Linked DNA regions of Coturnix japonica. The protein of the gene in region 1 purifies or fractionates together with the protein of each later gene. This does not show direct contact. Links are inferred from orthologs where the notes say so. Each region holds a gene or a part of one and is shown in the gene's direction. Other genes may lie near its edges.

Region 1 (4,557 bases):
TGGACAAGTATTCTGCAAAGATTTACCTCTCATCATCTTTTTTGCCTTCTTGTAGTTCCTTGGGTGGTTTTCTATACCCTACATCTATCTGCCAGAGCAGCTCTCCAGTTTCAAAGAGGCAAAGTTTGCCCGTGGCAGTGCCACATACGATTTCTCCCTCAGACAGCCAGGCATGGCACAAGTAGTTCGGTGGCTCTCCCTTTTGTAGATTTGTCTGCTTCAAAGTCCTTTCACTGTATTTATAGAGTTTAAAAAAGCCATTTCCAGTCAAACAAATCTGTGTGTTGTCATGAGGACTAAAGCTCACCTATGGAACAAAAAGAGAGAAATGGTTTTACACAGCTATGTTCGCTTTCAGAAAAAAAAGAAATAAGAATAAAAATCTGTTCTATGAGAGTATGATACCTGTTCTATGTAAGTATGATACCTGTTCTATGTATGATACCCGTTCTATGTAAGTATGATTCCTGTTCTATATGAGTATGATTCCTGTTCTATGTAAGTATGATACTTGTTCTATGTAAGTATGATGCCTGTTCTATATAAGTATGATTCCTGTTCTATGTGAGTATGATTCCTGTTCTATGTGAGTATGATACCTGTTCTAGACAGGTATGAGATGCAGAAAACAAACAAGGGAAAGAGAGACTGAGAAATACACTTTGCACTTTTCCCTCTTTCAGGACTGTGTTTATCAATGTGACACGTGATGTTATGGATACGTTAATTCTATTAATCTAAGAAGCCTTCTGCATCACTGTAATATGGAAGAGGGAGCTGTCCCTGCCTTCAGGATCAAGCAAGGCAAAAATACATCTTTGCTGCCATCTACCTGAACAGTGCCAGCCATTCTTAGAAGTCAGGAAGAATTTCTGTATTTCAGGAAAGCCAAACCTTACCATACCGCATTTTAACTAGTGTAAATGGGTGTGTACTGATGGAACCTGCCCCCAGCGGCCGTTACCTGGCAGACGCCGCTGCCCTTGTCCTCGAGGCGCAGCACGGCCAGCAGCTGCTGCTTCTCCCACAGCCACAGGACGAGATGCGCCTCGGGAGGTTCGGTGAGAGCCACCAGGTGCCGGCCGTCCGGGGAGAAGGCCAAGGCCGCCACTTCTCTCACCGGCAGCTCTGCGGCCGTCAATGTTCTCCGCCGCCGCGGCGGCGCCGCCGTCATCTCGTACACCGTCAGGGTGGGCTCCTCCTCCGCCGTCTCGGACACGGCCATGTACCGCCCGCTGCTGCTCACGGCCAGCGCCCGCACACCCTGGCTCTTGTCGCGGCCTGCGGAGGGGAGAGAGGGATCAGTGCGGGACCGGGCGGCGGTGAAGGCGGCGGGGCCGGGCGAGGGGAGCTGCGACCTGGGATGAACTTGTGCCATCTGTGCTCGGTGTGGAACAGCGCACAGGCCGCCCCCGCCGCGTGCAGCACCAGATGCTCCTCCAGGAAGCACAGGCCGCCGGACACCCCGGGCCTGCAGCCGAAAACGGCCACCGGCTCCACCTCCGCCGCCGCCTCCGGCTCCGCCATGACGCCAACGCCGTCCCCGTAGCAACCGCGGCTCCGAGGCTGACGGATGTGACGACAGTGCGCTTGTGTGTGCCCGGAAGCGGCGGTAGAAGGAGCGGCAGCATGGAGCGGTCCGGCATGGAGCGGCACAGCTCGGGGTCTGACTGCTCGGATTCCGAGGACTCCTCGCTGTCGGACTCGGAGGTGAGCCCGTCCCTACACCCGGTAACGGGACCGCCACCCGGAGCCGCCTCAGGGCACCGCGGCCCGGTCTGAGCGCTTTTTGTCCACAGCTCCAAGAGGCCTTCGCCAAGGGAGAGCTGAAACCGGGGCTCAACGTGGTGCTGGAGGGGCAGCCGAAGAAGCACAACGATGTGGTGAGGGGCGGCCGACGGGACGGGACGGGGGGGAGCGGGGATGGAGCTGCATTGAGGCCTGAAAGGGTGGGTTGGGCCGCGGCACGAGGGGAACTGCTCCTCAGATTGAGAGAGACCAGCAGAGGGCCACAAAGATAACGAGGAGCAGCTGGAGCCTATTCTGTGACCTGGATATTCACTTTTGCTGTTCGTGTGTCTCACAGAATCACAGAATCATAGAATTATCAAGGTTGGAAAAGACCTAGAAGATCATCTAGTCCAACCACAGATCATCTAGTCCAACCATAGATCATCTAGTCCAACCATAACCATCTCATTGCTCAGAGCTGTGCTTCCCTTTCCTAGGATGGTTTGAAGCAGTGCCTGTCCGATTTCAAGCAGCAACTGGCTTGGGTGGAAAGGCTGGATGTGACGCTGGATCCAATTGCGGATGCTGTGGAGTCTGTCTCACAAAGCGATGCTAACAAAGATGCTGTTGATCCTGAGAATGATTTCCAGAGGGAGATGAGTTTGTAAGTGGAAAAAGAGATTCTTCATAGGTTCTCTATGCACTGCTGCATGCCTGGTGTCTGGTTTCACATGGATGTTGTAATTTATCACTGGGCTCTTGGCCCATCTTATGCTACATCTGATGATTCCAAACGTTTTACAAAATAACTACAAATAAATGCTAATATATTTAATCTGATCCCTGACAGGGAGTAATTTCTCCCCTTGCAACAAACCTCCATCTGTTGCTTAAAAGTGTCTTTAGGGAGTCTCTGGATTGCAACACTATGGCTTTAACAGAGGATGGCTTTACCTACGTGGATGTGTAGTTCTCTTTGCTGTGTATTTTACAGTATCATGTGTAAAACCTGAGCTGTCTGGTGCCCCATCACTGAGCTGCTGTTCTTTTCTCTCCCCAGTTACAGGCAGGCACAGGCAGCAGTGCTGGAGGCCTTACCAAGGCTGCGTAAGCTCCATGTTCCCACCAGAAGGCCGGATGATTACTTTGCAGAGATGGCCAAATCAGACCAGCAGATGCAGAAGGTACGTGCCATGAATAATAGCTTTCATTCCTGTGCAGTGTGTTGGTTTTAAGTCTGTGTTAAGCATTAACTATGTGGTCCTTAATAATTGCCATCATCTTTTTGACAAAGGCCTATGACAGTGTTTGTATACAAGGGCTGTTGTGCAGTGTAGAGACTTCCACAACAGGCTGGAAGTGTAAATAGAAGAGTGGTTTACATTGTGTCCCATATATAATTAGTACTAAAAATTAAATTTTCTTCATATATGTAACGGTGAAAAAACTTGTAGTGAGTGAAGGCATTAATATGATCCTTTATTTTTTCCCCTAGTTTATATTTGGTGTATTCAGGCTCTCAGTGCTTTTCAGCTGAGGGTGTTGAGTTAAGTTGGACAGGTAGCAGTGATTATGGAGAAATTATCTGATTGAGGCAGATTTTCTTTTTGCCTTCGTTGATATTGTTTATATAATTACTGATTTCAGAACTGCACAGACATCTTAAAGTTCTCATGCTTTCCTTTGCATTACTCATTAATTTTCTTCCTTTTCCTCTAAAAAGATTCGGCAGAAGCTTAAGAGTAAGCAGGAAGCCATGGAGAAGTCTGAGAAAGCGAAACAGCTCCGTGCAATGAGAAAATATGGCAAGAAGGTGAGGAGGAGCTACAAAAGGGACCTGTCTATAACATGAATCAAGAGCCTAAATGAGCTTAGAAAGTGGGATTGCTGGAGGCAGGATAAAATGGAATCTCTCTGACCTTTTGTCAAGCTGCCTTAGAGGGAGACAGTGGTGGGGTACCAGGGCCTAAAGAAGGTATGGGGTGCTAGAGAAAAACAACACTAACATCTTGCCTCTTTTCTCAGGTACAAATAGAGATTCTACAGAGGAGGCAAAAGGAGAAAAAAAATATGTTAAATGCAGTCAAGAAGTATCAGAAAGGTAAAGTTAACTTGTCTAAGAGACTAAATGGGGATTGTGATGTGTCAGGAGTCTAAGGCACTGTGATATGTGATGTCATTTCTGCTGCTGAGCAATAATCTTGAAAGGTTGCTGCTATACACAACCACACACTTGTGGCAGAAAAAATCCTTGGTCTTCAGTGAGGGTGATTTGTTGCTATTATTTAGGCTGAAAAATTGGTTTCTGTGGTGGTAGCTGAGCAGCTGTTTTGTCCTTGCTCTTGCAGGTCTCACTGACAAGCTGGATTTTCTGGATGAAGAACAGACTTCATCTCAGGGGAATAAGAAAGGCGGTGCAAATCGGCGAGTGAAGAAAGGGTGAGATTAGAAAAGAAAGATATTTAAAGGCAGAATCCCTGATTTTTCGAGCTCTGTAGGAGTTTTGTATGACAGGAAACCTGTGTAAATTACTGCTTGTGAAAAATAAGTCCCAAATGACTTTCTGTCCCTAGAGAGGAGAACTGTGGCCTATTAGAATACAGACTGAATTCTTCCCCTTTATCAGAGGGGAAACTTCTATGAGAGCTGATGGGAATCTGTCAGCAGATACTTGTTTCCTTCTTGGGAGCTTCCCAAGGAAAGGTGTGTAAGTGGTGATGCAGCAGTGTTGTTTTTCAGACCAAATGCCAAAAGACGATACAAGGATCAGAAGTTTGGTTTTGGTGGAAAGAAAAAGGGCTCGAAGTGGAACACAAAGGACAGCTT
Region 2 (4,441 bases), on another chromosome or scaffold:
TGCAATTACAGGCTATACATACACACAGTCAAGGAATATATACATATATATACACTATACCTGGCAAAGAACTGGCTCCAAAAATGGTCAAGCAGTCAAGAAGAACTGCCAAATTGATTCGGAACACGACTGATTCTTCCTGAACATGAAACTCCTGAAAAATTTCCGCCTTTGGGAGAAAAGTAAGAGATGAAAACAGTGAAGCTTTTCCAATTACTTCACAACTTACTCATGTCTTACATTTTCAGTGACTGGGAGATCTCTTCATTTGCTTATAACTACCTAACACATAATCACAGTAATGGAGATGTTTGTTTTCTTAGGTACAAGTGATACGGCACAAGGAAATGATAACAAGTTACACCAGGAGAGGCACAGATTGGGTATGAGGAAGACTCTCCTTCTGAAGAGGGTGATCAACCATTGGACCAGGCTGCTTGGGGCAGTGGTGGAGGTGCTTAAAAAATGTGTGGACGTGGCATTAGGAGACCTGGGTTAATGATAATGAGGAGGTCAGGTTGATGGCTGGACTTAGCATAGAAACATGAAGGTTGGAAAAGACTGCTGAGATCATCTAGTCCAACCATCAGCCATCCCCACAAGACTCCTTAAACCACGTCCTTCAGTGCTACATCTCCTCATTTCTGGACACCTCTGGGGACAATGACTTCAATTCCCTGGGTAGTCTGTTCCAACACCTCTCCACTCTTTCTGAGAATAAGTTTTTCCTTACGTACAACATGAACCTCCCCTGGAACAACTGGATACCATTACCTCTCATCCCATCAAGGTCTTTTCCAACATGAATGATTTTATGATCTGTCTATGGCAGGATTTGACAATGTGACTGTTCCCAACCACTATATGATTAATTAATGGCCACATTCTAATCACTGCATCTTCCTCACATTAGCTTCTGCAAATACTCTATGGCTTTACTAAAGCTTCCCCTTCCCCACAGCTCATCTTCTGTACACCAGTTCTACCACATCACTTATTCGAGTCCCTAACGCTGCTACCAGCCCCTTCTCACCGTTAACCACGGGAAGCAGCTCAGCCTCCAGACCCTACCTGGATAAACGCATTGGCCTGAATGCATTTGGCATCCTCTACAGTCACCCGAAGCCCGTTGTCTGTGGCGAAGCAAGTGGCATGATCCTGGAAGTGGACGGCCCTAAGGAGGCTGGACAGATTGCGGGCGTTATCCAGGCTGGCCGTCAGGACGTACTGCTCGCTGCTGCCGGGGGACTGCGTGGAGAACGGCATGGCCGGCTCCTGGAGCCCAACGGGACCGGACCGGGCCTACCGCGGCCTAACGGGACCGGACCGGGCCTAGCGCGGCCTGACGGGACCGGACCGGGCCTACCGCGGCCTAACGGGACCGGACTGGCCTAGCGCGGCCTACACGGGCCTACAGGGGCCTGAAGCCACGGCTATCAGCTGCGCCGGCGCTTCCGGTGGCGCGGCGAGCGGGCGGAAGTGCGAGGTGCGCACGGCGCGGTGTCTGTAAGATGGCGGTGTCCAAGAGGAAGCGTGAGCTGCCGGCTGCTGCGAGGCCGAAGAAGCGAGTGAAGGCGGCTCCGGCTGCGAACGAGGCCACCGCTAAGGCTGCCCCGGACGGAGCGGCCCCGGAGGAGTACAGCATCCCGGCGCCGGTCTCTCAGGTAGCGGCGGGGCGCGTTGGGGCCCAGCTGGGCGGCGCTGGGAGTCGGGGCGCTGAGGGGAGCTCAGGCACTGCGCGGGTTGTGAGGGCTGTAACAGTCTAATTATGTTACTGCAAACAGAAGCAGCGTCCTGGGAAGCGGTTCCATTCTAATTATGTTACTGCAAACAGAAATAGCGTCCTGGGAAGCGCTGACAAAAAAGCGCTGTTCTGGCCGATCGATTCAGCTGTATTACCACAATCTAGAAACGCCTTCAGTTGAGTTCTATGCAGACGATTTTATGGATGATGAGTGTGCTTGGTGTCGGAGTTGCTCTGAGGAGCCTCAGGAATGGCTGTAGTTGCTGCTGCTTCTCGTTGAAGCACATTGCGGCCCGAGCCCGCAGCACATGTTCATCTGAAGGCAGCCTGTGCCTCTGCCGGGCCCTCTTATTAAAACATCCATTGTGTGCGGAGTTCTTAATGTTGTTATGTGCCTTTTGTATATATGCGTTGCAGTGAGCAGTAATGTCAGAAGTCGAACCTTTGCGGAGTTTCTGTGCGGGTGATGAGATTGCTATGAATGTTCTTGCTCATCTTTTCTGTTGCTGCGGTTCAAATGGGTGTTGTTGTAAGAAACTTTAAGAAAATTAAGGTTTTTGTTTAACGCTTTTGTCTGTTTTTTAGGGTAAATGGAAGAACAAGGAGCGGGTGCTTATTTTCTCCTCTCGTGGGATTAATTTCAGAACAAGGCACCTAATGCAAGACCTGAGAACGCTGATGCCTCATTCTAAAGCAGGTAGGGCTGAGTGTTATCCGTAGTGCATTTGCAGAGTGACCTCAAACCAAGTATTTCTGAGAATCTGGTACTGACTGATTGTGAATAATGGGACATATAAAATGTAGTCTGAATATCTGTTACAGTGCAGAAAAGCGTCATAGGACACATTCTAGAATTCGGAAAATACATGATAACAAACCAGGCTTATTCAGTTTCAATTGGATTGAACAAATGATTGAAGCCAGGAATTGGACTCCATGATCCTTGTGGAACTTTTGCAACTCAGGATATTCTGTGATAGCATGACGTGGCTAAAAAGCCCTTGGTAGCTGATCTTCCATTCACAGCCAGTAAAAACTCGTGCAAACACCGTTATAAAATGTTGTTGTTTAATTATGTGTTCAGGCCTTCTCAACGTTGTTTTTGTCTTCCAGATACTAAAATGGACCGTAAAGACAAGCTGTTTGTAATTAATGAGGTAATTCTGGTTTTAATCTTTATTTTCTGTGAGCAAGAGGCAACCAAGCTCAAAACATCTCTTTTTAGTTGTAGAGTTGTGTAACTTCATAGCTGAAAATTGATACTGAAAAGGTGGTGATGCCAAAAGAAAGCTGTCTTTTGGTTAAGAGACATTAGAAATTAATATGGAAAATTTCTGAAGCTGTCTTCATGACTGCATAAATAACCCTTTTGATATGTCTTGTGTAGGTGTGTGAAATGAAAAACTGTAATAAGTGCATCTTCTTTGAAGCTAAAAAGAAACAAGATCTTTATATGTGGTAAGTAAATACCATGTTTTGTTTGTTAATTGCATTTGTATACATAACTGGCAATGCTTCTGCCTAAAGTTTGTTACCGTAATAGTGAGGCTTCTTCAAATACTGCTTAGTTTAAAGTCGTAAAGAATACTGCTCTTCTGCTGTATGTAGTACAAACTTAAAACATGTAGTGGGTTCCACAGACCAGTTTACTAAAACTTCTTACAGAATTGTTTAGAAAGCAAGTATGCATAAGTATCCTAAAGGATATCCTAAAAGTGCTGCTATAAAAGTGACTGAGATTACTTCCTTACAGAAATGATTTGTTGGAGTGTACTGTAGATATCCAGCACAAGTTCATGGCTGCTCTTAAGGTTTTTTTCTCTCATGTCTCTGTTCTGCAGGCTTTCAAATACTCCACAGGGACCATCAGCTAAATTCTTAGTGCAGAACAGTAAGTTGTTTGATATTACTATGTTTAGATTCTTACTTTCTTGTCTATTTAACTTTGTCTAAGTAATAAAATGTGGTTTTTTTTATATAAAAAAAATAAAAAATTACTAGTTCACACGCTGGCAGAATTGAAGATGACAGGAAACTGCTTAAGAGGCTCACGGCCCCTTCTGTCCTTTGATCCAGTAAGTATAGTTCTTATGAACATGTAATACATTAAATATTTACATTACTTGTGCATTTAAGTTTGTATCTAAAATGTGATTTTTGCCATTGTAGACTTTCGACAAGGAGCCACACTATGCCTTGCTGAAGGAGTTGTTTATTCAGGTCAGTATGTAGCATGGACATCATCTTTTGTAAGTTATTTTAATTTCTCTTTTTGTACCCCCATACAAATCGTACACTTCGGAGTCTGCAGAAAATGCTCAAAAGAATTAGGGTTGTTCTTAAAGTCACTTGGACTCTTGTCCTTAAGCTTATTTTATGTAATCTGGAATCAGAGACTTTGTAACTTAAATTAATGCTTGTCCCTTTACAACTACAGTTACTGAGAAGTGCTGCTTTTTATTTCAGATATTTAGTACACCACAGTATCATCCCAAAAGCCAGCCTTTTGTAGATCATGTTTTCACGTTCACCGTCACAGACAAGAGAATATGGTTTCGAAATTACCAGGTTAGTGGTCTTTTTCAGCTCTTTCAGTGGTGCTCAATGGAGTAACTATATCAAATCCATTAATTACAGTAAAACAAGAAGAATAATTATTTATAGAACGTGCCTTTTCCTGTTTCTCTGGAGTTAATT

Evidence for each region. Proteins that work in one complex are often made in the same cells at the same time.
Region 2: the proteins of EBNA1BP2 (region 1) and BRIX1 purify together in Homo sapiens (affinity purification with mass spectrometry; 4 studies listed by BioGRID and IntAct, counting the BioPlex papers as one, with this or other methods). This does not show direct contact. The link is inferred for Coturnix japonica from reciprocal best matches to the Homo sapiens genes EBNA1BP2 and BRIX1.

What each region holds. Positions count from the first base shown.
Region 1 is NC_029523.1:17,301,236-17,305,792, reverse strand, and holds the start of EBNA1BP2 (probable rRNA-processing protein EBP2), read left to right. Parts: upstream 1-1,629; coding exon 1,630-1,731; intron 1,732-1,799; coding exon 1,800-1,949; intron 1,950-2,228; coding exon 2,229-2,395; intron 2,396-2,791; coding exon 2,792-2,915; intron 2,916-3,454; coding exon 3,455-3,544; intron 3,545-3,756; coding exon 3,757-3,832; intron 3,833-4,079; coding exon 4,080-4,170; intron 4,171-4,470; coding exon 4,471-4,557. Other genes in the region: CFAP57 (cilia- and flagella-associated protein 57), read right to left, coding at 27-307, 965-1,281, 1,359-1,527. UniProt on the Homo sapiens protein: Required for the processing of the 27S pre-rRNA.
Region 2 is NC_029547.1:9,686,171-9,690,611, forward strand, and holds the start of BRIX1 (ribosome biogenesis protein BRX1 homolog), read left to right. Parts: upstream 1-1,465; 5' UTR 1,466-1,511; coding exon 1,512-1,664; intron 1,665-2,329; coding exon 2,330-2,441; intron 2,442-2,857; coding exon 2,858-2,901; intron 2,902-3,131; coding exon 3,132-3,202; intron 3,203-3,585; coding exon 3,586-3,635; intron 3,636-3,745; coding exon 3,746-3,819; intron 3,820-3,913; coding exon 3,914-3,964; intron 3,965-4,210; coding exon 4,211-4,312; intron 4,313-4,441. Other genes in the region: cell cycle checkpoint protein RAD1, read right to left, coding at 61-169, 1,072-1,266. UniProt on the Homo sapiens protein: Required for biogenesis of the 60S ribosomal subunit.